Regions from separate parts of the Mus musculus genome. Here regions 2, 3, 4, 5 and 6 are each reported to be linked to region 1. The links are microRNA targets in miRTarBase. Many come from high-throughput screens and were not tested one by one. Region 1 holds a microRNA gene; each other region holds the end of a gene's coding sequence.
The links. The annotated mature microRNA mmu-miR-340-5p reads UUAUAAAGCAAUGAGACUGAUU and lies in region 1 at 2,780-2,801, shown strand. An mRNA with a match to its seed (bases 2 to 7 or 8) in the 3' UTR can be bound and repressed. Matches are read on the target gene's strand: a 7mer-m8 pairs with bases 2 to 8, a 7mer-A1 pairs with bases 2 to 7 and ends in A, and an 8mer does both.

Region 2: the mRNA of Abhd17b is a reported target of mmu-miR-340-5p. Seed matches in the 3' UTR shown: 7mer-A1 at 3,803-3,809.
Region 3: miRTarBase lists Ttc39b as a target of mmu-miR-340-5p. Seed matches in the 3' UTR shown: 7mer-A1 at 2,537-2,543 and 8mer at 1,920-1,927.
Region 4: miRTarBase lists Ube4b as a target of mmu-miR-340-5p. The part of its 3' UTR that is shown has no 7-base or 8-base seed match.
Region 5: miRTarBase lists Rnf141 as a target of mmu-miR-340-5p. The part of its 3' UTR that is shown has no 7-base or 8-base seed match.
Region 6: the mRNA of Nktr is a reported target of mmu-miR-340-5p. The part of its 3' UTR that is shown has no 7-base or 8-base seed match.

Annotation. Positions count from the first base shown.
Region 1 is chr11:50,066,941-50,071,940 of GRCm38, forward strand. Mir340 (microRNA 340) reads left to right here and starts at 2,762; the gene lies at 2,762-2,859. Rnf130 (ring finger protein 130) reads left to right here. Exons shown (of 9, transcript NM_021540.4): 3 at 4,231-4,481.
Region 2 is chr19:21,683,364-21,688,454 of GRCm38, reverse strand. It overlaps Abhd17b (abhydrolase domain containing 17B), which reads right to left. Exons shown (of 4, transcript NM_146096.3): 4 at 2,818-4,357. The coding sequence ends at 4,138. Among named protein-coding and RNA genes, the nearest start is that of Abhd17b, 33 kb to the right of the region's middle.
Region 3 is chr4:83,222,755-83,227,845 of GRCm38, forward strand. Ttc39b (tetratricopeptide repeat domain 39B) reads right to left here. Exons shown (of 20, transcript NM_027238.2): 20 at 1-4,470. The coding sequence ends at 4,380. Among named protein-coding and RNA genes, the nearest start is that of Gm46887, 39 kb to the left of the region's middle.
Region 4 is chr4:149,325,523-149,330,613 of GRCm38, forward strand. Ube4b (ubiquitination factor E4B) reads right to left here. Exons shown (of 27, transcript NM_022022.3): 26 at 4,669-4,815; 27 at 2,894-4,215. The coding sequence ends at 4,154. Among named protein-coding and RNA genes, the nearest start is that of Ube4bos3, 6.6 kb to the right of the region's middle.
Region 5 is chr7:110,812,459-110,817,549 of GRCm38, forward strand. It overlaps Rnf141 (ring finger protein 141), which reads right to left. Exons shown (of 6, transcript NM_025999.3): 6 at 4,077-4,392. The coding sequence ends at 4,242. Among named protein-coding and RNA genes, the nearest start is that of Rnf141, 29 kb to the right of the region's middle.
Region 6 is chr9:121,753,567-121,758,657 of GRCm38, reverse strand. It overlaps Nktr (natural killer tumor recognition sequence), which reads right to left. Exons shown (of 17, transcript NM_010918.2): 17 at 1,817-4,413. The coding sequence ends at 4,326. It overlaps E530011L22Rik (RIKEN cDNA E530011L22 gene), which reads left to right. Exons shown (of 1, transcript NR_033503.1): 1 at 1-2,018. Among named protein-coding and RNA genes, the nearest start is that of E530011L22Rik, 3.8 kb to the left of the region's middle.

The DNA.
Region 1 (5,000 bases):
CTGTGTTACAGTGGGCTAGGATGTAGTGATAAGGTTTGTTGGTCATGTTATTAACATGGGGGTTTTGATTGGTGGACCTTTATAGCCTCAGGAATGAGTCTACATGAGAAAATGTCCAAATGAGGGAATAGGCCTTTATGCCTAGCTTTAGGGATATAATCTGTGGTTTACAGGAGAGAGGGAGGGAAAAGGCAAGGCCTGGCAGTGCCATGGGCATGCTAGAGCCCTTCAGAAAACTAATGAGACAAGACAACCAGGTACAGGGTCCATAGCCCTTGGTTGAATTGTTAGGCTGAGTCAGAATAGCTGAATACGAAGTATATTAAACACTAAATACATTTTATCAGAAGTAAAAGTTTAATATAATTAATAAATTGTGTGCATCTGAAGTAACCTTGTTCTTAGGAGAACTGTTGAATTATTAAAGATTGAAATGTCCTATTGGTTACAATCTGCTCTCAGTTGGTCCAGCAAAAAAAAAAAAAAAAAAAATTCGTGTAGAAAGGCAGAAGTGTTTCCTGTTTGCAAATCTAAACAAAGATTATCTGAAAGCTCCCATACTATGGAAACTGTTCCATTTGAAAATTCCTAAAATACTGGGGCTGGGGAGATAGCTCAGCAGTTAAGAGCATTGGCTACTCTTCCTGAAGACCAGAGTTCAATTCCCAGCACCCACATGGTAGCTCCCAACTGTCTATAACTCCAGTTCCAGGCACTCTCACACACGAACGTCTGTATATGCAGGCATAATACCAATACACATAGAATAAAAATAAGTAAATTATGAAGAAAAAAAGAAAAGAAAATTCTCAGAATAAAAAGGGAAGAATTACAGGGAAGAATTGCAAATTTAAGTAGCCATGCTAAGTTACTAAAACAACATAAATTCCTATTAAAGAATAAATTGGCAGGCTAGCAAGATGGTCCAGTAGTTGTGAGTGCTTACTGTTCTCTCAAAGAGTTCGGTTCTCAGAACTCATATGGGACAGTTCACAGTCACCTGTAACACCAGTTCCAGGGAGTCAGTGACAGGTAGATACACACGCATATACATATAAACATGAGGTTAAGTAATAACTTTTTGTTGTTGTTGTTTTTCAAGACACGGTTTCTCTGTGTGGCCCTGACTGTCCTGGAACTCGCTCTATAGACCAGGCTAGCCTCCAACTCACAGAGATCTACCTGCCTCTGCCTCCAGAGTGCTGGGATTATAATAATACTCATAATATTCTTTATTTCACTGCCATCTCTAAGAATTAATACTAGCTATGGTGGTGTGAGTGAGAAAATCTTCCATAGGTGCCCGTATTTGAACACTTGGTCTCAGGTGCATGGTATCATTTGGGGATGTGTTGGAGGTGTGGCCTTGTTGGAAGAGGAGTGTATTAGTAGAGTCCAGCTTTGAAAGTTTAAAGATTCCCAAAATTTACTGCTGTTCTCTCAGCTTAGTGCTTATGGTTCAAGATGTGAGACTGGAGAGATGACTCAGAGGTTTCCAGGGCATTCTTCTGCTCATGGAGAGAACCTGAGTTCAATTCCCAGCACCCACAACAGGTCTCTCACAACTGCCCGTATCCCCCCTTCCAGGGGGTCTGTGACTCCTGGTCTCCACAGGCAACTATAACTTGCATGCACAAAGCTACACACATAAACACATAATTGAAATTAACAGTGTTTTTAAAAAGGTGTGAGTTCTTGGCATCCAGTTCCTACCTACAGTTTGCTGCCATTCTTCCCCACCATGATGGAACTATAAGCCAAACAAGCCCCTCCTTGTATACGTTATGTTGGCTATGATGTTTAACCACAGCAGTAGAAAAGGAACACATAGCTGCATGATTGTTGAACTCCAAAGCCATGTCTTGGTGTTTCAGAACACAGGCATAGGGGTGATCTGGTCACATTCTTTGTATCTGTTTAATGTTTCCATTACTTCAGTCTAATTAACCCCTCTCTCCTACCAGCTACTGCTACTCTAATCCTAGTTTTATCCTGAGGGTTAAGTTTCCTCTGTTGTCATCATCCCTCCTGAATCTGCACCAACTCTCCCAAGAGTTTTTTGTTTTGTTTTTAAGGTTTATTTACTTTTTTATTGTGTGTGTGTGTGTGTGTGTGTGTGTGTGTATACCTGCATGAGTCTATGTGCACCATGTGTACAGAGCCCTCGAAGGCCAGAAGAGAGTGTCTGTTCCCTCTAGAATTGGAGTTACAGTAGTTATGAGCTGCCATATTGATGCTGGGAACCAAACCTCGTCCTCTGCAAGATCAACCAGTGCTCTTAGCCATCTCTTTAGTCCCATCCCCATTTGTAAATGTCTGAGCCATCTTGTTAGGCTCTTTGAACCCAGCCCAGCTCTAGATGTTGGGGAGAAAGAAACTTTTTTCCTAGGAGGGTTTGTAGTTTGCTTCATCACCTTCTGTAAGAGATCACTGCCTTCACTAATATCAGATGTGCTGCTGTACTTTTTTATTTGATCATTTTCAGTCTCCTTTGGCAACATTGCCCAGTCTCCTCTTTTTGCTAGGATGATAAAGCTACAGTGAGATCTATTCACTCTTGTCCTCCTAACAGTGAATATTGACAAGTGTTGAACTAATTAAATTTTTCTTTCCCAAACAGCTTCCTGTTGAGATTAGTTGACGCGCCCATTTAGTGTTCGGTTAAGGAAATTACTGGATTGGTTGCCTTGGCTACCTGTGCAGCTCTCCCCACTTCCAGCTTGAGTCTTCAAGAGGGAGCCTCAGAACTGATTTCTAAAACCAATTGTACTTGGTGTGATTATAAAGCAATGAGACTGATTGTCATATGTCGTTTGTGGGATCCGTCTCAGTTACTTTATAGCCATACCTGGTATCTTAACACCACAGATCATGCCTGTTGATCAACATTGTAAAAGCACAAACTTAAGGTTTCTAAATGGAAATTTAAACTGGTTTAGCATTCTTTTATGATTCTTTTTAACTCACTCACCAGAGGCAGATGTTAACTTAATAATGCTAGTTTTAATTTTGTTGTCTCCTTTTTGTTTATAGATTTTTTAAGCAAAAATAAACTGGTAAACTACTACTCTAATAAAGTGAATAAACCGTTTTGAATACAGTATTATGCAAATATATATTCCATTGAGCTATATTTTTTTCAAAACTTCTGTTACTGAGTTTCTGTTGTGTCTCATCTTGACTGCTAAAGGTAACAAGAAATCAAAACAAGTGTTTCTAATATTTGTTGACAGAGCCTTCAAAAGGTCAGGTCTGGGGTCTCTGCTTGCTGTTTTGAGAGGGTATTTTGTGTTTGGATGCACAATCCTCCTTCATACTCACAAAAGTGACCTTGGTGAGTAGCTGCTCACTCTGACTTAAAACAGGCCCTTGAAGCCATGTGAGAAAAGGACTTGAAAACACAACTGAACCATCCTTGTAATTAACTTATAAAAGTTGTGCCTGTGGGCAGAACTCTGAACAGCTTTTAGGAACTGAAGGTTTTAGGTATCATTATGGGTAGTAGTCCAGAAAGTTGAAACTTGGGCCTGCCTAGAGGATTTGAGTGCGCTGGGCATGGTTAAACAAGGTGGAAAACTAACATAAAACTCAAGTCTGAGGCTAGCCGAGGCAATGTGAGATGCTGGCTCCAAACTGGGTGGGAAAATTGTTGCGTTTGAGCTCCAGAAGTGCCCTGGAAGGAGCTTTACTGTAGACAGAAGACCAAAGTTAGTTTCAAAGGTTGTTGGTAAAAGATGTTGCCGTTCGGCACTTGTCACTCCATAGCCAAGTGTGTGCCCTAAGAAGTACCCTTCTTTCTGTTTCTTAGAGCAGTCCTTGCTCAGCAGTGCGTGTGAGGATGAGTAGTGCAAGGACCACCTGTTCAGACTGTAAATGACAGTGCTTCTCTGTCAGAACTTTCCAGATTGATTGCTATAGAAAGGTTTTCTACTGAAGACTTAACCTGATTTAGTCACAGGTGGCTGCTTTCACAGTGCTTCTAATGCACCGGTAAGGCAGTTTGTGCATTGTTAACACCACAGTTGCTTTATGCGTTACCTGTTTGGAGCACTGTACATGTTCTCATGCCTGTCAGTTTACACAGCTGCAGCCTCATGTCAGTTGAACTGGAATCTATAAACCTTAGTGAAAATTATGGTAATTTCTCTATGGAGCATATGTGTATATTTATTTGATGTGTCTATGAATTTCAGATGTCACTTTAGTCTGTGTATTTGTTTTACATTACAGGCACGGGAGATATTATTGCTGTCATGATAACAGAATTGAGGGGTAAGGATATTTTGAGTTATCTGGAGAAAAACATCTCTGTACAAATGACAATAGCTGTTGGAACTCGAATGCCGCCAAAGAACTTCAGCCGTGGCTCTCTAGTCTTCGTGTCAATCTCCTTTATTGTTTTGATGATTATTTCTTCAGCGTGGCTCATATTCTACTTCATTCAGAAGATCAGGTACACAAATGCTCGGGACAGGAACCAGGTGAGCTAACCAGTACTCTAGCCAGCCGTAATCCATGAGGATCTTGTGATAATACTTGTTTATGTCATATATTTAAAAACAAGACCAACAACAACAAGATAAAAACATGCCAAGTATGGTGCTGTACCCTGTAATACCTGCACTCGGGGTTTTGAGGCCAGTTGGACTACGCAGGCGTTCCAGGCCATATTCTATCTCAGTTTTAAAAAGAAAAAGAAATGAAAGAAAATGTTGTTCTACATAATCACACTGTAACTATCAAAGTCAGTAAATGAATGTCCTTTCAGTACATTTCCTGACCTATCGGCTCTCTCAGGTTCTCCAGAACTGCTTAGAAGTATCCTTAAGGGCAACAAAAACCCCAGATTAGTTAGGCCAGAATGTGTGTTACATTTAGTTGTGCTGTCTCTTTACTGCTTCCTGATACTGGCATCTCAGAAGAGCACAGGTCTGTGTCCTGTGTCTTGTGGTTTCGGTCAAGGTTGTTTGCATTTTGTCAGCATCACCAGCTCCTTTTAG
Region 2 (5,091 bases), not on the chromosome of region 1:
CACAGAGGCACTTTACAAACCCATTCTAAGCAGCTGGCACCACACAGGGACACAACACACAAAGAAACTATCAATATTCCTCATGAACAGAGATGCAGAAATCTTGCCCAAAGAATAAGACAACCAGTGATGTACACACACAGAGGTGGGACAGTGAGGGGTTATGAAAGGAAACATTGATATCTGCAAGCCAATGAAGGGCCTCTCACAACATCCTGCCTTTGGACATTTGGTTTCTAAAACTAAGAGAATTTAAATTTTGTTGTCAAACCCCACAATGGTAGTAAATTGAATTCAACATCGTATTTTTAAAAACCATGTTAGGTTGGCTTAGTCCTAGAGATATGAGCGTGCCAATCACCTAACAGAATGAAGGATTAAAGAGCGTATGATCATCTCAACATGCAAAAAAGGATCTGATAAAGTGCAACGATGCTTTGTGCTAAAAACCCTAAACAAACTCAGAAAAGCCACCTTAACCTAACAAGTACATATGACAAAGCCAGAGTCAGGGTCACAGTGAGTGGGGAAAAGCTGAGAGCAGAATCAACAGCAACAAGAGGCATCCATGGACACAGTTCCTCCTCACAAAGAGATCTGATTAGACAAACCACACAGGAACACAAAAAGCATACAAATAGGAAGGAAATAAAATTATTCCATTGTGCAGATGATGCAGTATTTAGAAAAACCTAAGACTCTATAAAGAACAAATTCAATATTGTAGGATACAAAATTAATAGCTTTTCTATATATCAGTACAAAAATCAGCTAATGCCTTTAGTCCCAGCCCTAGAAAGGCAGAAGCAGGCAGATCTGTGAGTTCGAGGCCAGCCTGGTCTACAGAGTGAGTTCCAGGACAGCCAGGACTACACAGAGAAACCCTGTCTTGAAAAACAAGAAAAGATAAAATAATAACAAAAAGAAATCTGCTAAAATAATGAAAGCAGTCTTACAACAACTATAACAAAAGAAAATGACATAAAACTTAAGCAAAGAAGCCCTCTGTAATAATTACAGAACACTGATAAGAAATATTAGACACAGAAAGTAAAATGCAAATACCTTCCATAGTCACTGACTCAACATTGTTTAAAAAAGTCCACGTTTCTTAAAGTGATCTCTATTTGGACACAACCCCCATCAAAATATCAGTATTGTTATTCTTCACAGAACTAAGAACTAGAAAAAACAATGCTGAAGTTCACATGGAAGCACAAAAGCCTCCAAATAGCGATCTTGGGCAAAATGACCAAAGCAAGGTGTGTCAGAGCACTACCAACCAAACCTGACATGCTATCAGCCTAAAGCAGCCCCTCTATCAATGGAGACAGACAGAAACACACACACACACACACACACACACACACACACACACACACACACACACACCTCACAGCGAGCTCATTCTCACCAAAAGCACCACAAACATGCCCAGGAGAAAGGGCAGCCTCTTCAATAAACAGTACCAGGAAGCTGGATGGCAAGAGGCTCCTCTCTTCTATTCTATGCAAAACAGACTCAAGGTGGATCAAGGGCCTAAATCAAAGAGCTGACACTCTCAAACTCCAGGGAAAATAAAAATGAAATAGTTGAGAAACTGGTAACCGCAATGGCTATTTGGATAGGACCCTAAACACAGGAAACAATAGTAAAAATCAGATGTATGACCACACTGAGTAAATTTGCTTTTTACTGTTTTGTCTGTTTTTGTTTTTTTGAGACAGGGTTTCTGTGTACCCTGGCTGTCCTTGAAAGTATATTTTTTTAGACCAGACTGGCCTCAAACTCAGAGATCCACATGCCTCTGCCTTCTAAGTGTAGGGATTAAAGGCGTGTGCCACCACCACCTGCCTCTGCTTTTCACTGTTAATCTGGATCTTTTAATGGGCTTATTAAAGATGTATGCCAAGCCTGGCTTGTTAGGGCTGCTAGGGAACAAGCTCTGACCTTACCTCTGGCCACAGTTAGAGAGACAGGAGCTGAGACAGTGGTGGGCTGGACTACTCTTTAACGGGCACTATTTAGCTATGCATATCCTCGCCCTCTACTTAAACCTAATGTCAGGACTCCAAAGATGGACCTGGAAAGAGGGCTCTGTGGACCTCTGTTTTTGACTTACTTTTTACTACTGTTTAATTGGCTTCTTGAAAATGTCAGAGCCCAGGCTCTGGCCAATTAAATAATTAGTATGGTAACAAGCAGATTAGTGAACAAGTGAAATGTGTCACACAACCACAACAGAGCATTACTTTAAGGAATGAAATCCTGCCATATGCAATAAGATGAATGAAATTAAAGATGATTATGTTAAGTAAATAAGCCAGGTATAGAATGATAAGCATGATGTTTTCTTTTCCACACAGAATCTAAAACAGTTGATCTATAAGTAGAATACTGAAGACGAGTGTGGTGGTGTACACCTTCGACCCCAGCACTCGGGAGGCAGAGCCAGGCACACCTCTGTGAATTCAAGGTCAGCCTGTTCCAAATAGCAAGTTTCAGGATAGCCAGGCCTACATAGTGAGACCCTGTCTCAAAAAAATCAAACCAGCCAATCACCCAACAAACCAAACCAAACCAAACCAAACCAAACCAATGCAGGATTCTTACTGTTAAGAGACCTGGAAGGTGGTGGAAAACAGAAGGCTACAGCCATTCACATATGTGGAAATATCAAAGCAACCTTCTTAAATGTATACTTAGAATGTTAAAACAAAATTTTAAAGATACAGAAAACTTCAGGAAGGTGTTGTGACTTTTCCTCTTTCTGTGGGGGTGAGGAGTTCAGAAGAAGGCACACAAGCACAGCCGAGTGGTACATTTGTTGTTTTACTGTGAATTTGACATAGCTGAACCAAAGGATTCACAATATTTGATATACTTTGAAGATCGTGTACTATAATCTTAGACATAACCACAGAACAAGCAGAACAATTAAAATTACATAAGGCCTTAAAAACATATCCACAGTGTGTATTATTTTGATTCTCATTCATTACAAATTAAGACTATATACCATTAGTTTATTTTTTATTTTTCTTTCATTTTTCAGGCAGGATTCATTCAAGGAAAGGCAACTTAGTTTTTGTGTGTGAGCTTTATTTATTTATTTTATTTTTTTTACTATACTGGTTAATATAAAATGTATGGCATGTTTTCTTATCCCCTGCATTCAGGAGGGAACCCATGACATTCTCAGATACTACTCCAAAAGAACAGGCCCTACTCTTAAAAACAGCAGAGGTGGAAAGGAACCAAACAGCCAGTCTCTCTGTGGTCTTGAAGATCAACTAACGGAGTTTCAAGTATTCATATAAGGAAGACTACTACAGTTCTAATAATTAGTCAAATTTAAAACAACATTGCATACAAAATCATTCTTGAAGCCCTAACTGTCCTTTAAATAACTGAATGAAAATGTTAAGTAGTTGTCTCACAGTACCAAACATAAGTCAGAACTAGTTAAAATCCAGCGCCATCAGGACTTCTCAGTGACAGGATGAAGAGCTGCTAAGTTAACAGATGGCATAAAAATTAAGACTTCATTTTTTTAAAGGATAAATGTACTATAATTGGAGAATACAGAAAAGTCAATGCATTTTTTTTAACAATAAAATAACCATTTAAGCCTCTATCCCTGTACAGTGGAGTATATATCAACTCAATTTGGATGTTTTCAAACCGTTTTGTTTTTTACAGTTTATTCTGAGTACTTGAATTGCTTTAGATATACAGCTTTTTGAAAGAATATTACATTTGTATACCAGGATATTTAGTACATTGAGATGTTTAAAAATATTTATAAATTTGCTTTTGATATGCAAAAGCATTTGACAATACTTTTACAGCATTTGATTTTATAGAATTAAAATTTCATACAGTACTCATCTTGATGTTTAAAAAAAATTCACAGAAAAAATATAAATTACACAGCCTGACTGCATGATACTGCTATTTCCAGTTTCAAGTTATGGTAATTAAAACCTTCATTAAGTCTGTTAACAAATCATTACCTGTACAGTTATGAAGGCAACTTACATGATTTGTAAACAAAACCTTCAGGTTTTATGTTATTTACCAAGGAGTGCAGTTCAGCAAGAAAAGAAAACCCAGTCTGCAAATTTACAGAGTAGTTTACAAATTTACCAGTTCCTGTGACACGAACTGTTTTAACCTCTCAAGGTATTGTCCATAAAGCTCCACGTCATTGTGTCCTGCCCCTTCAACCCACAGGGGCTCCACAGGTCTTTGGCAGCGCTCAAACAATGCGAGGCCATGGGAAAAGTCAATGACTTCATCTTCAGTCCCGTGAATTATTAATACTGGAGAGGTTATCTTAGAGATTTTGTCAATGCTAGAGAGAATAAGAGAAAGGAAAAAAGCTCAATGAACTGTAGAAAAAAGGAAGTTTCCTGTGTTAGAACAGAAAATTCAAACATTAGAACTGTACAGTAACTCAGCTTTAGGGATGGAAGTCAACTTCAGTAAGATCCAAAGGCCGTCCATCCTTTCCATGACCTCTACGGTGCTGCAGGAAGTTACCTCTGCACAGTTGCTCTGCTTGGACACTGCCACCCTTACATGGAAGCGCTGCCTCGATGCTGAATTTCCCCTAGGCTTCTTAACCCAAGGACCATGCCTGCCTGGGCTAACTTCATTCCCTACTGCACTTATTTTATTCTATCAGTTATTAAAACTCAAGCAAAATCCTTTGGGTTTGTTCTGGTTTAAGGTTAAAAACAGAGAGGAAAACATAAAAAATAGTTTGAAGCTACAAATCGGATGAGTCTATGAAATAGCTATTATATTAGTAAGACAGGTAAAAACACAATGCCAATCAACTAGAAGGTAAAGTGAAGCAGCCTCCAGGCTACAATGGAATACCCTAGCTCTGGCCAAGACATTGCCACGGAGATGAAGGTGGGGGCTGAAACATGATGGAATCCTTCAAACTCTGTTTACAACACAGTAAGGTCCTTCTTTCTCAGACTTCCTGGAAAAGCTGAGTAACTTTCTTCAACTCTAGGTCTGTAGATGTAGGACTCCAGTTTACGTGAAAGGTACTACAGTCACACAGCACACAACAGG
Region 3 (5,091 bases), not on the chromosome of region 1:
ACGTAGACAACTGGGCTCTGAGGAAGAAAGTAACTCGGAGAAATGCTTTCATCCTAAAAGGGCATGAAGGATTATCCAATATGGGTTATTTTATATTACTTACTGATACCGGTCTATTGATACATTAGAGCTACCCCTGCATCTAATCAAGAGATGCTTAAAGAGATTAAAACTTGTATTATGTATATCGCTTAGGCACACACACTCAAGATATTCACAATAGGCAACTGGAAGGCATGAAATATTTAAATTTAGTTAAGTCACCTTTTATGTTACTCCCTAAGGGAAATAAATTGTGCCTAACAACCTTTAAATAGTATAATGGGCTAGCTACGAGAACCAATGTTAGCATTTCCATAATGCCAAAGTCTTGCAAAGGGGTCACTAGATTTTTCATAAATTGTCTTACTCATGAAATCTACAAATATTTCTACAACCCCAACAGCTGTGACATCGAAGATAGTTTCTAAAATAACCTAGTAATCTTAAAAATAAAGACTTTGAGATGGCACACAAGAAGTTCACAGGGGTGAGAGGTGGGTAAAGGCCAATGTTCAAACAAGCCACGGAGCTCTATCATCTGCCCAGTACACGGGATGGAAAAAGTAAACCACTGAGAGATGTATGACACAACATGGTGTAAGAGGGAGGTCCCCTGGCCACGGCAAGAGTAGAGCAGCGACAGCTGACAAGTTGCTATTGCAGTAGACAGAGAACAGCAGGCCCAACATGCTCACAGGCTGAAAGGGACAATGTAGTTTTCTAAGATCCATTCTAGACCTGATAAATCACAAATGCTTAGAATTTCAGTTACTTCATGAACTAATTCCAACTGAATGCACCAGAACTGGTGATTCAGGAATACAAAGTTGGCAAACCAGTGGGAAAAGAAAAGAAAAGGAAAGGAAAGGAAAGGAAAGGAAAGGAAAGGAAAGGAAAGGAAAGGAAAGGAAAGGAAAGGAAAGGAAAAGAAAGGAAGAGGAAAAACAAAATGTCCAGAGAATTAAGCAGAATAATTCCAGGATTAGTTTTCCACTTGATCATAAAGACTTTTTCCATTATTTTTACTGTCCAGGGTGCGGGTCTCTACTAACAAGGATCTACCCAGAATAGATGGCACAGGACAGATGAGCCAGCCAGACCCATAACAAACACAATAGCAGATGACACTAGTGCCCATCACAGTAGAATGATTGACAAGGAACATGCGCTTCTATTTGAAGAGAGGGTACCTGCTTTTTACCTTTCCCTACCTCAGATTTTAGACCCCGATCAAAGCATTGTAGAATGAGCTGACCTCCAATTCAATTAACCCAGACAGACACTCAGACCAGGGCGGGATGACAGTCACCAGAACTGCTGAATTCACTCCATTCCCAAGGAGCTGGTTGGGCTGTTGGATTGCTCGAACAGCTGCAGTGTCCAGGAATCTGAATTGATCTCCCTTAGCTCCTGCCCACTTGTCTCTTCCTGTCCTCAGGACAACTAGAAGGCCACTCAACTGTCTGCAGTGTAAATAGGGAACATCTCCTATGTGCAGACAGAGCAAGTGGTCAAATATACTCGGGAGTTGCTGTAGTTACCCTTCCATCAATTCTCCCAAGGAAATTAGGCTTTCCCTCCCAAGGCTCTGAAATACAATCCTTACATTTACAAAACACCGATCAGAACACTGCCTCTGCAGGTAGCTACAGAAACTGCAATCAGACATACTGGAAACCCAGCCTATTACCCGTGGCCTCAAAAAGATGATTAGATAACGTTGTCTCTTAGGCACTTGCTCTTCACAAAACATCTTAAATCACAACAGATTTTAAAAGATGATTCTTACAAACATCCTAAGAAATTGGTGCCGGTACAGTATCTTGAACATGACAGAAAATAGATAAAGTTCTGTGGTATTAATTCTATTGCAGTACTTATAAAGCCACTGATAGATGGTCCACAGTGCTGACAGAGAGAATTTGAGCAATATAAACAAAAGAAAACCACAAAATAAAATAGCACAAGTAGATTTGTTTGATAGTATAAAAGTAGTCATTTAAAAAATGATTTATTGTCTACTTAATGTGTATGTATGTATGTTTCTATGTGAATGCATGCCATGTGTGTTTGGGTGCCTACAGAGGCCAGAGCGAGTGTCAGCTCTTCTGGAGTTACAGACAGTTAAGGACTGCCTGCCATGGGTGCTGGGAAACAAACTCTGGTCCTATGGAAAAGCAGAAAGTGCCCTTAACTGCCGGGACACCCTCCAGTCTCTAAAACAGTCATTTTTAGCTTAATTTTTTTCATTTAATATCAGAATGGGAATTTACAGACCATGAGCTTTGATAGTTTCTCACAAAATATGGGTATTCTTTTTGTTTGGTTGGTTTGAGTTTTGAATAAACAGACCAGGCTGGCCTCGAACTCAGAGATTTGCCTGCCCCTGCCTCCCAAATGCTAGAATTAACAATGTGTGCCACCACACCCCATCACATTAATAGTATGAATAGATTGTTTTTAAAATATCGTTATCAAAGCTCTTCTAAAGAATTTATAAACTTTTCTTCATATATATATATATAATTATTAAACATATTTCTATAGCTCATGACAATTTATTTCCCTACTATCTGTAGCTAATTGTGTGATTCATATTAGTGAGATATAATGATTTCTGCCTCCGTGTTATCAATGTTGAATAAGAAATGGCACCTTACGTAACAGGCCACCAGTGCCTGCTGAGCATGGGGAACTGCAGTCGGGGACAGCAGGAGCAACTCCATAATCTGGGCCACTGTCAGTGCTAAATGCATAAATAAATAAACTGAAAGGTCATGAATGCTCACGTTCATCTCACTGTAGACAAGAGACCACAGACTCAGCGGATACTAGAGGTATTGTAATCCATGTGCAAGGCCATAGTTATCAAACTCACTCCTCCGTGTACAGCTTCCCCAGTATACAGAAAGCTACCAAATGCACCAGCTCTGGAGGCTGCAGGCAGTGAGTGCTACCTTGCCTCTCCCACTGGAAAACCCAAGTCCTGGAAAAGGTAAGTTATTTGCTTTATGTTGTTAACTATTAACCAACAGAGAAAGACTCAGAACTACAAACCTGGGGCGCTGACGAGGGAAGGTGGAGCCATCTACCCTCTAGAGAAGTTACTGGTCTTGGAAATAATAGAAACAAGACAAAAGCCCAGGTCCATGGACTCTAACTGGTTTTTGTCACTGGGTGGAGTCTGGCCCTCAGCTGTAACACCCACTATTGATAGGCCGTTGATTGGGAGGAGAGCGAGGGGTTGAAGAAACTATATTCTAATGGGAAGAGTTTGGATTAATGCTAAGCATTGTTGAAAGTGTCTAACACAGAGACTCACAGTTACACAATTCAAAGAGAAATTAAAGCCATCTGTGCCTTTTCTGTTTCTCGAAATGAGCGTGTTCTTTCTAATTCACAAAGGGTGATTGACAGGTGTGGGGACCCCAGAAGGGCATCTGCTCAGGCTCTGATCCGGGTTCCTACTCAGAGAACCAAGATGCAGCCATGGCCCTGGGTCAGCAGCATCATGACTGTAAACAATCACTGACATGTCACATATCACTCACAGCAACAGGAGCTTCTCCTTCCTGTAAGAAACACAATGGAAGTCTGTAGTTCAGGCTTCAGCACTAAGCTTAGGGAGATCTAAAATACAGCTTTTTATTCCCTTAGATACATGAGAAATGTGTCTATGTGATTGAATGCTATTATTGGATCTGATATGAGTACATTCAAATACAGGATAGTTTCTGAAAAATGCCACCACCTTCAACCAATGAGAGGACTGGAAATCCTGAAACTTACAACTGTGACATCTTGCTGAGATACAAGTCCCTTCTGCCTAGGAATACTTCACCCACCTCAGGCCCCTCATTTCTCTCTTCCAGAATCTTCAGAAACCCACTGTCATACTATTATAGATGTGATATTTATTTACTCTCAGAGATTTAAACAGCAGTAAAATATCTCTGAAGTTTAAAGGACAAGCCAATCTAAAAATGGCTCAGCTGATAAAGCCATTTGCTATTTGAACAATATTAATTTTTACATTAAAAAAATAAATAATCTAACTAGGCTTTATTGTACCTGCCAGTCTTTTAAAAGACTTCACCCCCTCAATTGAAATCTACAGTGAAGGCAGAGTATAAGAATTTCTGTATAGTATTAAATGTCATTCCAGAGGGGAAAGTATGTAGACCAAACAGTACGCCACTCCGATGACAGGAAGTGGCTGACAGCAGGCTTTCTGTTTCTTATTTGATGGATCATGGGTCCACCTTGACACAGAGAGTGATCTCCATAGCAAGAGTCAATGTTAACCGGGGGGGAAGATCCATCCTGTGTGTTCCGGATCAGTCCGTGGAAGGTTTCTTCCAGAGATGAAGAGCTGCTTGAATTCTGAAGTGTAGCCTGGACTCCAGGGAGTAATCCTTATAGTTATTTCTGAAGACAAGGATAAAATTGTACAGTCAGAACTTACCCTCTCTAGGGGGGTGCCGCCCCCTTCCTCTGCCTCCCTCTGACCCCTTACATCTGACTCTAACATGTTCTACTGGAGCAGAGTAAAGAGCAGCGTCTTTCTGTGGGGCAAAGTGAACAGTGAGTCTGCATTCTTGCTTTCCTGAGGCTTCCCCAGTGATGATTTAAGAGGTTATACCGTTGAGTAAATCATTCTAATTGCCAGACCACAACTATAGCATGGTCAAGAAGGCATGGCACATTGGCTAAATACTGCTACATGGCTCAACTTCCATATTTAAAGAGGAAAACATTAAGGCAGGGTCATATAACACAATGATCATGAACAATCCACTATTCAACAGAATAAAAATACCTTGAAACCCACACGGTTACCCCACAACAAAGACACCAGGATTTCCCCGTGACCCCAAAACCACTTACTCCAGTTCTCATGTAAGTTTTCAGTGATTTTGTCACTAATGACTCAATTAGACCAGTGTCAGAAGGGGTCAAGAAGGCAAGGTGGGTGGTACACTGTGAGAGGCGAGGAATGGAACACAGTGGGAGAGAACACGCCTGGCACACAGAGCCTCTGGGGTCAAT
Region 4 (5,091 bases), not on the chromosome of region 1:
AGCTTCTGAAAGGGCTAGAGCTCTGGCAGCACATGCTCCTCTTACAGAGAACCTTGGTGCCATATCCAATACCCAGCTCACAAACACCGTAATTCCAGTTCCAGGGCACCCAACGCCCTCTTCTGACTCATATGTGCACTGCACACATGTGGTGCAGGCAGTACCCATATATATAAAATAAAAGCAGATGCATCTTTTAAAAAAACTTAGACCATGCCTAGGTCACACCAAAGGCACAACTGAAACAGCTGGCAACTCACCGTTCAATGTGCCAAGTGCAAAGCAAACCGCGTAAGACACTCATGGTTCAAAGGCTGTTCTAAAGGCCAGGGATGTTGCCTAGTTGGATGTCAAGTGCCGGCCTAGCATGTACGTGTCCTGAGTTGGACCTTCAGCACTGCCTAGACAGACAGAGAAGAGGCACTGTGCCCAATCCCTGTCATTACCCATTCAGCAGTGACTCAGAAAATGAGCATGATGTCATTCTCGTTCCTTTCTCAAGGACTTTCCTTCTGCTGAGAACATACAAGTTCTCCTTTTCGGACAATTTTTAAAAATCTGTTCATTTTATGTATATGAGTAAGGTGTTGCTGACACATTACAAAAGGGCATCGGATCCCATTATAGATGGTTGTGAGCCATCATGAGTTGAACTCAGGACCTCTGGAAGAGCAGCCAGTGCTCTTAACCACTGAGCCATCTCTTCAGTCCGACAATCTTCCTTCTAAACCAGACTTATTTTTGAAATATTCTGGATCCCATCACCTCTAATTAGCAGGCTGGAGGCAAACAATAAATTTCCACGAAACAGCTACTCTAAGAATCAAAGAAAAATTCAAACCACGCCCCTAGAGGCAAAGAGATTGGCTGCATCCTTGCCCCACCCTCTTTCCATAAGTCCACTCTTGAAACCCTTCAATTCTGAAAATCCCACGGGAAGCAGCAGCTGTCCACTGACGGGACAGAAACAGCACCTCTTAGGGATGGAGAGATTAGCAACCCACAATTGTGAAACCAGTAAGCGTTAGGCATGCTTCTAATTAATTAACATCATTAACTTCATAGGCTTGTGGGTAAAACGCTTGTAAAAAGTAAACTGACCAGAATCACCTCAATGGTGGAATCGTCAGTAATTTCCTTTTTGTGTCTTGTCATGATCATGATGATGATCATCTTTAAGATACGGGGATTAATCCCAGCAGTCAGAAGGGAGAGGCACCAGGTCTCTGTGAGTTCGAGGCCAGCCTGGTCTACAGAGCTAGTTTGAGGACAGCTAGAGCTACATAGAGAAACCCTATCTTCAAACAATCAATCCTGGGGATTGCCCCAGAGCTTCCTGCATGCTAGGCAGATGTTCCTACCAACTGAGCTACATCCTAGCCCAGATTGTGTACTTGGGGCTGAGGTGGCAGGGGATGGTGAGCTCAATGTGTTCAAGAAAAGAACTCATGGGCTGGAGAGATGGCTCAGCACTGACTGCTCTTCTGGAGGCCCTGAGTTCAAATCCCAGCTACCACATGGTGGCTCACAACCATCCGTAATGAGATCTGATGCTCTCTTCTGGAATGTCTGAAGACAGCTACAGTGTACTTACATATAATAAATAAATAAATCTTAAAAAAAAAGAAAGAAAGGAAGGAAGAAAGAAAAGAACTCATAAGGAAATGGACCTCACGGGCCTGAGAGCCATGTACTTGCCAGGAGACAATGGGCAAGCTACCGAATCTCTCTGCAGCCCGCAGCCTGACCTCCTGAAGACCATGGCAGCAAAACCAAGCAGAAACACAGCAGTACTGTCTCTCCTGAGGTTGGCACTATAAAGATGAGGCTTTTGCACAGCCTGGCACACAGAAGTGGCACCTAAGTGCTTCCCATAGCTGAGCTGGCATTATTAGCGCCTGTGCTGGTAGAAATCACTTTGCAAACTGGAGTGGTAATGAAGTGGGTGGGACCTGAGTAGGAGTCATGGCCACTTGAGATCTCCAAGGTAACATCAAGAGCCAGGCAGAGAGCAGAGGACACAGCGGAGTCCCTTCACGCCAGAAGTGAAGCGAGAACAGCGTGGCACATCAGGGATGTGGACGACGGGGATGAGAAAGCTTTAAATTCACACATCTGCTTACTTACCATACATATGATGCCAGTGTGCTACAGCCTGTGTAGCGGACGGAGGATAACTTGTCTGTGCTCTCCTTCCAAGAGGAATGAGCGCAGCAAGCCCCTTTATCCCCTGAACCGTCTCAATGGCCCGCTGTGCTTTATTTTAAAGGAAGGCTATTTCTAATTGGCTCCAGAAAGAACATTTCTTCAGACACCTGCTCTTGTTGGACCTTCGTCCTTTATGTGTATAAATGCTTTGTGTATATGCACGTGCATCATTTGTGTGCCCAGTGTCATGGGAGACAGATGTCTAGGCCCCTGGATCTGGACTTCCAGGCAGTTGCAAGCTATGGGTGTTGGGAACTAAACCGGGGTCCCTCTCTGCTCTTGTAACTATCTCTTTGGCCCTGTTTTATCTATCTATCTATCATCTATCTATCTATCTATCTATCTATCTATCTATCTATCTATCTATCTATCTATCTATCTATCTATCTATCTATCTATCCATTCATCCATCCATCCACATACACATATATATACATGTGTGTGTATATATATGTTTATATATACACACACACATATATACATATTTATACATATATATTACATTATAAAGACAGGATCCTGTTATGTGTGCCAGGTTGACCTGGAACTCTCTATGTAGACCAGGCCGACCTCAAACTCAGAGATCCATCTGCCTCTTCTTGAGAGTTCTGGGGTTAAGGGTGTGCGCCACCATGCCAGCCTTCCCCACCCATTTCTTTCAACAAAAAGACGACTCACAGGAGGCTCCTTCCGAATGGGCATCACCGTTTATTGTCGATTGTGTTGGGAACTGAACAGAGCACAGGCTGTGGAGCAGAGGAGAAAGGAAAAGAGGAGGAAGTCTGTTTCTGAAGAGTTCATTTCTTTAAAACACTTTATGGTTTCAAATCCTTTCTCACCCCAAAGGGAACTCAAGAATTCAAGTATGTTGCGTAGGGAGCGGTAATACAGAGAGGGCTTCTGCTCGCGTGCGCCTAGGTGGTGTTGTCGGGCCATGTAAACAAGCAGACAGATTTCCACATTTCTTGCACCCTTTTTTTTTTTTGTTTTTTTTGTTTTTTGTTTCTTTGCTTTGGTAAGGTCAAACCCCAAAAGGACACAGCATATAAAAGAACCCCGGGCTGAGGAACTTATCCTCAGAGGGTAACCGCATAGTTGGAATTGTCACATAGGATTAAAACAAAACAACAAAACAACAAAAAACCAAACACACCCCTCACCTCCCCCGAGCCCCACGAGTCACAGGAGTCCTGATCCACTCCAGCCAGCTGCTGCTGCACCTGTCCCTCAGGATCTTAACTGAGGGTTGCTAGAAGGACCAGGCTCACAGGGTTCTCTTCATTTTGTTTATAATAAAAAAATTTAAAAGGGCTATTTCAAAAGAAAAAAAAACTGAAATTCAAATTCTGAAAATATCTTGCCTTTTTTATTAATCATGTCATCTAACACCAATTAAAAAAACAAGTATGTGAATATGATATAAAAATACGATCCCAAGATTAACACTTGTCGCAGGCACAAGTTATCGCACAGAATACATGTTTGGAGGGCCGGGAAAGGAGTCTGGTTCTGTTTCTCTTTAAAAAACCCACAGCAGTGCAAGTAGGGTGAGGGAGGGGAGATTGTTTAGCAGCAAAATGTCCGAGTTCTCTATTCACATCGAAAAAACAAAACAAAACAAAACGTAAGCTCAGGGGAAGCTGCCCAGACCCACTTGTCACTAAACACTTCCGCTGCCACAGCCCCAGGTAGCGACAGGCGAAGGGTGCGCTTTACTACACAAGCCATCGTAAACTCGTCCCTCAAGCTTTGACTGTTGTCACTTAAATATATGTACAGGAATCCTCTTCTCGTCATCCCCTCAGATCTCCACTGTTTGGTCACACGGGTGGGCTCTCAGGATCTGGCCACATCTGGTTACAGGCTGGAGCTGCAGCCTCGAGGCAGATGCTGCTGCGGCCTGGCTGGCTGGCGTGGCGGCTTCCAGCGGAGGAGCGATGGGGCCTCAGTGGTCACTGCTCTGTTTCTCTCTCATCCAGGCCTGAATCTGCTCCTTTAGCTCTGGCACTGAGGGAGAAAGCACAGGGGATGAATGACCCGGATGACAGGCTCTTCCACTGCAGTTCTATCTGCGTGGACACAGAGTCCACGGTGCTCACTCCCTGTGGGCGCTGAAGACTGCAGAAGGAACAGCCATGGACAGGGAAACATTTACAGCCAAAGTGAGCGGAGTGCTCTGTGGCTTTTGGGTACTTTCTGGATCCAATGTCCCTTTTCCTGGTGGTGGTGCTGGGGACTGAGCCTGGGAATGTACACAGTTGGGCAAGGGCTCTGTGCAGGCCCAGCCATCTTTTCCTTTTTGTTTGAGACAGTGTTGTAATTACACTGTCGGAACTTACTTGCCATGAACAGGCTCTCCCCTTCTGCTTCATCCACCCCGGTAGCTGGGACTACAGGCCTCGCGGCACCGGCCAGCTCTCAGTCTCCCGCACGGTCTGGCTGCACTCACTGGCCTCCTACCTGGCTCCAGCATGCTCTCAGTCAGCATCTGGCGGTTGAAGGGGTCGGTGGGGGAGTTGAGCAGATGCCGCAGGATGATAGAACGGTCCATGACGGTGCCAGAGGGCAGTCTCACGGGATCGGTCATCAGGGTGTCCATCAGAGGGTCTGTGGAGACAGAGCAGAACACACTAACCCTCAAGAACAAAAGCAGATGGTTCCTACCAGCGAGACAGTCTCAGGGAGAGCTGTGGAGCGAGCAGCCCCTCAAGCCCCTCAGTAAAGGAAGGCAGCAAATGATGAAGGCCTTGCCCTGCCTTCTGTCACTGCTGCTGGGAGGAGAAAAGAGCAAAGAGGACAGCCAGGCAGCAGGCCCAGGGCAGAACCCTTTGCCTTAGAATCCAGACTCCTTCCTGATAGTGGCAGAGCTGCCTTTAAAGTCTT
Region 5 (5,091 bases), not on the chromosome of region 1:
GAGCACTGACGAGGAAACCCACAATTTGCAAGCTACGGCTCAGGTGACCTCGTGGTCATCTAGCACCTCAGCCTAGCTTCTGCCAGTCCCACAGAGCATCAGCAAAGCCACATCTAGAGTGCTTTGCCTCGGATGATGTCTTAATCTGTTCACCAGGGTGCTTCTCAGACTGTTTCTCTATCACTTTGTTTAATGAAATCCTAGTGCTCACTGATCCTCGTGTGTGTGTGTTTGTGTGTGTGTGTATGTGTGTGTGTAAATCCCTCCTTTTGCCTGTTTTACAGTCGGAAGCCAAGGCAACTGTATATGGGCTCAGGTTTCCAGACAGTACTCTCTGGACAATTCCTAAGGGTGGATGTTTGCCTTATATCTTACTTAGCCTGTACTGCTGAAAGTCGGCACCATCTCTCCGCCTCGTGAATCCACACTTTAGTCTTGAATGAAAGCAGGTCTAAGGGTGTGCTTGGCTGGCTCTCTCAGTAGCTGCTGCCTGCTGAAGGGTGGGCTCACAACACAATTTCTCTGGTTCTTAAACACAGAGGGTGATGGCTTATGCACCTAAATGTTGTGTCTGCACCATGATTTGTCAGAATAACCGTCTCACCAGGAAAGGGGGCTCACACCACAGACCCACAGCCTCCGGCTCCTGAGCGATCATCTTTAAGGCGCATTCTGTAAAACAGAAGCTGATGAAGAGCTGAGACTACAGAGTGGGGATTTAGCAAAGTGTATCCGAAGGACTCTTATGCTTTGATAGTAATGCGGGTTTCTCCACAGTATGGTTGACGGGCACCAGCAAACCTGACTCGAAGCTGCCACCTCCCTCTGCTTCCTCTCTTCTGTTTCTCCAATGACATTCTTTTACACGGAAAGCACAGAACTGGCAGAGCTCAGTGTGGACCCTTTATTCTGTCTAACGGGTACTAGGAAAGAAAAGCTAACCAAAGTCACAGTAGCTGCTCACACTGCTGTTACGTTGCTTCTCATAAATGCAGGTGATGAGCCGACAGACAAAGTAGGCTTCAGTCGAGAACCCTCTCCCCAAAGCAAGGAAACTCCCAACACCTACGGATGCAAGTTATTCAGACTATCTTTTAATGAATCCAACTTCCCAGTGTTAAAAAATCAGGGAACCAAAAAAAGGTTTCCAAGCAGCCTTATTACCCAGTTGTATATTAATACAAGAAAATCACCTCAAAACAGCACACAAACAACACAACCCCCAGAGCACAATACAAAACAGTCCTCTAATAAATATAAATATTTAGTATATAAGAATGTGAAATTACATAAGCAAACGTTTTTAGTTAGCTAATGTTCACTTGCAAAGTTTACTTATTGCACATTGTATCAGTTTTTCCTAAGAATAAAACAGGCTTTGCTGTTGTCAGCCTTTACATCAATACATAGTCAAACTCTTTCTGAAACCCAACGTTTCCAGCATTTGAGCCAACCTGCTGTTACTGAGTGAGCACAGCACTAACATACAATTTACAACAATTCCCTAAAGCAGGAGGCAATTTGCACATCACTGAAGGCACACAATTTCCTACCATGGTAAATGTATTTATGTAGTTCTTATTTTATAAAGGCAAAGCTGTACAGAATAGAAAAAGTATACATTTTACTCATGAGACAAATTTATGATTAGATCCTATGGTGAACCCTACCTACTATTGACATCTGGAGTCACCACCCAGTTCAATGGAATGCATAGAGAACTCTGCTTACTACTTGATAAGGCAGTTGGAGACACTGACGCTTCACAGTAGACCAGTTAGTATCCCAGAGATCACACTTTAAATAAAGGGCAGTGGGCAAGATCAAGTCACTGGACTCACTTTCTATTCTTTCAAAAATGAAGGATTCTGGGGAATAGAGGTATTGGCTATTGCTGGAAATATCCCCAACCCCTAAAGCTATGTTATTAATTTCTGAAACACTTTAAGATTAGACAATTTGAATTAAACCCAGCAAGTCAAAATCCAAAAGGACAATTTTAGGGCTAGAAAGCATCTCAGAAGATCACTCATTCCAAGGCTTAGAGAATGTGTTCTATGGAGCACTTGAAAGTTGACAGAATATGACAGAATATGAATTTTAAAATGTTTTAAAGTTGTTTTGCTAGTGTGTCTCTCTGTGTGTAACATGCATGTGGGTGCCCTAGGTGGTCAGATGAGGGTGTTGGAGCCCTTGGAGAGATACAGGTGGTTGTAAACCACTAATGTGGGTGCTGGGGATTAAACTCTGGTCCTCTGCAAGAACAGTAAGTGCTCTTAACCACTGAGTTAGCTCTCTAGCCTAGCCATCCCAATTGTTTTTGAAACAGCATTTCAATGTAGCCCAGGCTATCCTTGAACTCACTCTGTGATGGAGGATGACCTGGGCCTTCTGGTCTTCCTGCTTCCTCCTCTCAAGTGCTGGGGTAGGAGGGGTGCACCAGCATCACTGTTTTTACGCAGTGCTGGGATGGAACCCAGGCTTTATATATATTAGGTAAGCACTCTACCAACTGAGTTACACCTCTAGCCCTGAATTGTTATTATTTTTACAAAACAGAGGTTTTTTCATTTACAAATTCTAATGTAACTGTATCACCAATACATTTTCACATTTTCATATACTGACTTAAACTCGATCACACTAAGGTTTGTGTAAGGAAACTTGTATTAATAATATGTAGCTTCTCTATAACGGGGTAGCATGTGTGTGTGTGCACTCAGTGTGAATAGGCTCTCAGAACTTACTTGAAATGCTAATGTTTGAAAACCACAAATACAATCTGAGTTTCTCAATAAGAACCTACAACAGAGTAAGACTTTCTCGGGGTTGTGAAACCATCTCAGCTAAGGTATGACAGACAACAGCACTGTGCTTGCCCGCATGCTCGGCAGACTGCTTAGCCATTTGGTGTCACTGCCCTGTCCTTACAGTGAATGGACTATTGATGTCTTCAGTATTTGGGGGCAGAATCAAGTCAGACCTTTTTTTCCCCCGAGAGGGATTTTATTTGAATATTCATTAAAATCTGAATCAAGTCAGATCTTTTTCTTTGAAAGGGATTTTATTTAAATATTCATTAAAATCTGAATCAAAAATCAATAAGCAGTAACTTCAATTGTGTACATCTATACTTAGGAAAACAGGGACAGTTGAAACTTGCCAAAAATCTGTGAGAAGACTTCTATGGAACGCTAACATTTCTTACAGGGGACTTATTTCATGCACTAGCACTTTTATAGGCTGCACTGTTAGCATTAACGTTCTTCCTCCATAAGCCACTGTGGCTGTCACTGAGGCCGCACTCCTGTCACGGTTCTCTCTCTAGATGCCTGAATAGTGCAGAGAAATGGGAAGAAAGCCAATCAAGGTCTGGAGTTTAGGGTTTTACAACTGCTTGGTGAGGAGGTTTACCTGATCGTCCTCTTCTTTTAATCTGAGAAATTTGAGGAAACCGAAGCCTCAGAAAGGCGTCTTTACCTAAAATAAACGCTGTCTGGCTCAGGACTGGATGCCTCTGTGGAATCTGGAAATATAAAATGTGTGTTTCTATAAAAGAAAAAAATCCTTCTGAAAACTCAAGCTTCATGGGCATTATGAAAAAATCCAACGGGCACCTATCCAGGTCCGGGGATGCCTTTCTAAAGCAGCCATGAAGATCCCTCCGGTACAGTCCATTTTCGAGACAAAGTTCCAACCAGACAGTCCTAATCCGTGTGCTGCATCATGGCAACATAAAGAATAAGTAGTTCCAGAACCCAAGGCCAAAAGTGACATAACATCAGGAAGCAATTGGGCCACAGTACTGAAGGATCCATAATGAACCACAAGGGGGCAGAGCACACACACCTCAGGTTCCAACTGAGACATTAGTTTCAGTCATTTATCTCAGATGGCTACAACTGTCAACACTCTAAAACTTAAACCTACTAAAAAGATGCCAGAACAGTCCCTCCCTCCCTGAAAAGCAGTAGTGTCAAGTATTGCTGCTATCTGTAGCAAAGGGCTCAAGAGCAACATAGAATAGGTGGACTGTGGGAAATATGGCTAAACAGTAGCAAACTGTAGCCCACCATACATGGAAGACATGGGAGTTTATTTAAGAACGGGACATACCAGAATAGCAAAAATAAGAGGGTGGGAAAACTGATATTTCTGTGTGTGCCACAATATCCCCCCCTTCTCCTCTACGACAACAGTGTATTTGTAGTTCAGAATAACAACAGAAAGTCTTCCCCAAGTCATGGCCTGTGGGGCTGGCCTGCCTCATCAGCCATGTTAAGAATATAGTTAGCCATGTCATCTTCAGTGGGTGCATCTGACACCACCCATGATTCATTTGCTCCAGTCATCTGTAGGCGACAAATGGGGCAGTTCCTGTGTCGATCACTCCTGTCAGGGAAGTCCAAGCAAAACAAGTTTTTCCTTTTTTTCTTTTTCTAAAAAATCAGGTTTTTTGAAAAGTACATGGCTTTAAAAATGCAAACAACATAGAAATGTGCAATGAAAAATTAATCTTTCTCTTCACTCCAACCTTTAATTCTCTCTTCCAGGATCAACTGGTTGCCTACGTATTTCACCAGGAATGACTGAAGTTGTCAATGTGTGGGAAACGAGCAAGTGAGTACGTTCTCGCTGACCTTGTACCCACGTCTTAGAAACCACTGTGTACCAGTGTATGTAAGCGTAGTCTTTCTTTTCTCTTCTCGGTGGCTTGCCATCCTCCTGCTCCAGCCTGCTCAGGGCTGGGACTGTGGCATGCTCCCATACACCTGCTGCAGAGTATCTAACTCATCTCTGGTAGAAAGATACCTAGTTCCTTCACCTTGTTTGCTACCACCAGCTAAAATCTTCAGTTCTTACTTCTGCACCCAAATAAGTTTTCCTCAATAAGAATTCCTTATGTGTCCTAAGGGAAGCTCCCTCTCACCAGTGGGAGAGTTAGGGTAAAATGTGCAACGTTTAAACATTTATTTTTAATTTAAGTGGAAACCACTGCACATTTAGCAGAAAGGTATTACTAATTATTATTCTGAGTAATTAAGGTCATTTTTTAAAGGTAGGGTCTCTAAGCAGCCCATAGAACTTGCT
Region 6 (5,091 bases), not on the chromosome of region 1:
CTACCCCACCCCCTGCTGTCTCATTTGGGTTCTCTGAACTCCGACTGAGGGCAAGAGGGCACACTGGGCTTGTCACTGGCAACAGCTGCAAAAGCCAGAAGCCCCGTTGTGTTCATGGCTGCAGAACTGAGTGGTCTGGACATGGGGTACAGCCAACTGGAGGGACAAGATGGGAGCAGAGGAAGGATTCTAGGCCACAACCTCAAGTTCTGTTGGTTGGTTTAGGGGCCAGAGCACTCATTACCATGATAGAGGTGGGTGCTTTAGACCCCTAAAGCTGAGTGACTCCAGGCCAAACTTCACTTTGGAGAACAAGGAGACAACCCCAGACTGCTTGGGGTTCCTGCACTTGGCTGGGGAAACTACGCTCACCAGGTAACAGAAATGCAAGTTAGGCAGTCCAAAAAGTGGGTGGTGCAGGCTGGAAGGGGAGGGTGTACAGTACGTGGCCTCCATCTCCCTCAGTTTTGGCTGCTGAGTCCAGCACTAATGGGCCACAGCTGCACAAGGGTGGGAGCCTAATGCAAACCAGCAGGTTCCCTTTCCCACACCAAGTCCAGGGCCTTACAGGAGAGCCTCCCTGTTAACTTCCAAAAGGCTCCCAGAGACCCTAGTCCTCCACAACCTTGGGCCGTGGTACTTCTTGCGGAAGCCCCCATCCCTTTAACTCAGATGTGACCAGCAGCAGTGTCAAGGCCTACGTCCATCACTGCTGTGCAGAGACCATCGGGTCCTACATGTCTGCCCAGTAGTGGGGGTTCTAGAGGTCTTCTGAGCCCTAAGTGTTTCCAGACATAGTCTTCAGGGAGGCAGACTCCTCTTAAAGTTAGGGCAGAGACAATGGTCCTCAGAATCTGCATGTGGGCAGCAGGGATCAGGGTTAGGGCTCAGTGGACATAGGTGTAGTTCTGGCCCTTTTAAAACCCACATTCTGCCTTGGTATCTCCCAGGTGCCTCAGCCTCAGGAGTTTGGTCTTACTGCTTGTATGAGGTTTGGTATTGAAGAAGACAACACCGGGCTGCTGTAAACCACAGGGAGGAAGCAGCTATGGCAAGAGGCCCAGGCCTCAGAATGCAGCCTGTGCTGTGGTGTACTGATTCCTGAATGCAGAGCTCTAACTCCTCCCTCGAGGTGCCCGAGAGACTACAGCAACCAGTAATCTGTCTCAGCTAGACATTCTGACCTGTCTTTTTAACAAGTTATGGGTATTTTGCCTGTGCCACCACGCCCGGCTTTTAATTAATTAATTAATTAATATTTTTTTTTTTTTTTTTTTTTTTTTGGTTTTTCGAGACAGGGTTTCTCTGTATAGCCCTGGCTGTCCTGCCACCACACCACAAGAGTAAAGAGTCTTACTATGCAGTTCTGTCTGGCCTTGAACTCAAGAGATCCACCCTCTTCTGCTGGGGTTAAAGATGTGCACTACCCTACCACACCTGGCATTTTCTTTAAATAAAAAATAAAACACCCACATTCGACAATTTTCAGTTTCCCAAGTTGGGGAAACACTGTTTAGCAAACCCAGTTCTCTGCAAACAAGCTAGCAGGTTCACTCTGCTTAGCCAGCAGGTCCTCACCTGTATGTTCAAATGTCACATGGTCTGTCTTAGGAGGTGAGTGATGATGGGTGCCACAGTCAGATGACTTGCAGAGGACAGCGGGAGGAGACCTGGAGTTGCATCCCACCAGAGGGTATGTTTCTGCCAGGCTCTCCCAGGTCACTCCTGCACCCCAGTAACCTGCCAATGGACAAGTCTCTTCGCTTGGCTGTATCAGAAACTGACTGGAGTTTGAGCAAAGAAAGACCAAGCAGGCAGGCTCAAACTCAGCATGTATTTTCATTTCTACAAGATCCTTTTCAAGTTGTAGAGAAATTTCATAGAAGTATATACAAATTAGACATTGCTAGTATGTACAAAAGTATTTTCTACATTTTTGAACAATATCAACTATGCCACTTGCAGTAAACAGGATGTTACAAAATCATCCAATAAAGAAAGCATTTTCTATTAAGCACATTACACAACATAATTCAATTTTATTAAAAAAATAACTTCAAAATACAGAATGATCGTGGATAAGAAGAAAAGCCATTTCTGTATTCAGTCGAGTATAAACAGCAAGGTTGACATTACTGAACATGAGTGCCTGCTGGTACAGGTTAAGCCCTGTCCATGCAGCAGTAGGTGGTAGGTGGATGCCCTTCCTCTTGCTATGCTAATCCCCAGAACCCGACAATGTCTGTAATTCCTCTGGCCACGGGACTTCGAGTAGAGATTTATCTCTGGAGTCTGATCTACTTACATGGACCCTTAAAGCAGGAGGAGGGCAGAGGTTTTGAAAAAAAGACAAGACTCAAAGGGTCCCTGCTGGTTGAAGCTGGCAAGGCCTACAGCAGGCGATGTGGGCATCCACCGAGGGCTCTAGAGGGGCCCAGCTACAAGTCACGTCTTCCCAGAGTCTTCTGAGAAATGAGCTCTTCCAGACCTTACCTTGAGACCCTGAGCAGATGAGTCAACCCTACCATTGCCTGTTTGTCAATGACACATAGGCACTCTTAGGCTGAGAAATTTGGGATAACTTGTTACACAGCAACCAAATAAGAATATATGGCCCAATAGTGACCTTTTCTTACTAATTACATTTGCCAGTTTATTTGGGCTCTGAATGCATTCTTCCTACTGAATACTAGATTCAAACACCCTTCTTTGTAGGCAACTTTAAAGGGGGGGGGGGTAGAAGGACCCACTCACTATAAACCACATGTCTAACCCGCCAAGCACTGAGTTCCGATGTTATCCTTCTAATTAACTAATTTACAGACATGGTGAACAATAGCTGGCTGGCCACCAAAATGCTGCTTACATACATCACAGAGTAACACCATTATTTATTTGTGGGGTGCTGACCTCTGATCCCAGAGCTACTTACATGCTAAGCACATGCTATATATCACTGAGCCACATGGCCCTGGAAGACTACTTTCATATATCCAGTACTTCCCCTCCATCTGGCCAGGGCTTTAGTAATTTCCTCCAGCCCAAGGCCTTTACTCTTCCCAAATGCACTAGCAAGGCCTGGGTGGGATAGGAGAGTACAGACTTCTACACCATATACCTGACAGGAAGTCTGTGAACTGGATTTAACCGGCACTAAGGTGATTAAGTACACTTGGGGAAAGAATGCAAACTAAAGAGTAAAACAAAACAAAGAAACAAACCCACACTAGTTTTTACAGGTTAGATTCTTCCTGGAGGAGCCACACAAAGCCGTAAGAACCCCTTTCTGTGCAGCAGAGCCTGTGACCCTGCTGCCCCCAACTTTTGTCCTGGGTTTCCTCCATCAGGCAGGGCTTCATGGAGTCAGGGGGCAGCGTGGGGGTGGGGGTGGGGGGTGTCTCGACACAAACAGGGAATAGGATGGTTGGGGCAGGGCTGCTACTATTGCCACAGTGAGAGTGAAGCTTGGCTGGAGTGTCTGTGGAGCTGCTTCTGAAGGACATTCTTCAGCTGGCACTTTAGCACACATGTGCAGAACAAGATGACCAGCCATACAGGTTCTGTTCCAAGGGACCTCCACCACATATCTGTGTTTGGAAGAAGCCCCTACACTCACAGTGAACCCAGCTCAGAAGAAATTATTTTTGGTGCCAGTGAATTTAAAAAAAAAAAATCACAATTCATTTTCTGGCATCAGGAAATGCAGTATGTGACAATATGACATAGGGTATACGAGGAACCAAAGGCACCAAGCACCAAAGCAGGAGCTGGGGTGGCTGGGCTGGCATTCCCTGTGAAGTGTGGGTGCTCACAGCTGGGACACAGAGGAATGAGCTACCACCCTGCACACCTGGCCATGGTCAATATGGATGTGGACAGCCTCATCTGACAGCACACACCAAGACGACAACCAGCATGGGGACATGGGGACATGGAGAACACGTGTCTTGTGACAGCTCTCCATAATTGTGTTTGGCAGCATGGATGCTAAAACCTGAAACAAAAAGAAACCTGAATTCTACAGACAATGTGATCTACAGAAAACCCTATCTACAGTGACACTGCAAATTATACTTACATCAAATTTACCATTTCTTGATTCAAGAAAATGAAAATTCCATAGTTGCCTACTGTAAAATGGGTCATAGAAATATTTCTAGGGACATCTGCACTTTAAATTCTTTTGCGCACATGTAAATAAGTGACAAGAAATATCCACTATAGGATTGAGGTCTAATACTAAAACACAACAGACTGCCATCCAGTTTCTTAAGCTTTAAGTTACCAGGTATTTACACTTAAGACACAATCTGTACAGAGACATCTCAGCTGTATCTGCTGCTCTCGCTGGGACTCCGGTGATGAGAGTAACTTCTGTCACTTTCACTGTCTGAGCCATAGGATCTACCACTCCTGTATAAGAGAACAAAACAACGCCATCAACTCCCATTTTCTGTTCTAACTATTGCAACACTATGGGTTTTTCGAGGATGTTTTAAATGGTAGTAAAATCAAGGTTAAGATAGCAATAAAGAAACCTTTTAAGAGTGGGAAATTTACTTGAAATCCATTCATAAAAATGAGCAAACTATTTTTCTACTATATCCAGTAAATGTCAATGCTAGACTAGACTGAAGCAGGAAGGGGTTAAAGGGACAGAGTCTCACTAAAGTGGGTGTAGGCTTGGTTATGGTGGTCTTTAAGCTCATTTAAAAAGCTTTTCTGAGAGCGAGGCAACTTGTCATGGTAAGTGTCGTCCATCCCACCACAAGTACACCTAGAACAAGGGCTCAAGGGCAGCTCCAGACAGTGGACAGGCAAGTTTGTTCACTGAAACCCCCAGGGTTCTAGGGTTAGTGTGATGGAGATGGGGTATTCCCTGGGCAATGGGCTGCAGTGAAGAATATGAGACGTGGGGGCTGAGGGGTGGGAGGTGACTGATCACTTCAGGACACAAAGACTAGTGACAGAGCTGTCACTTGGATTTCTGAGCAGAAGGGAAGCTCTAGAACACTGGAGGAGAGAAGTCAGAGAGAGCTGAAGCTGGAGCTAGCAGGTGGAGGGGCTCATGCACTGGCATGCCCAGCTGGC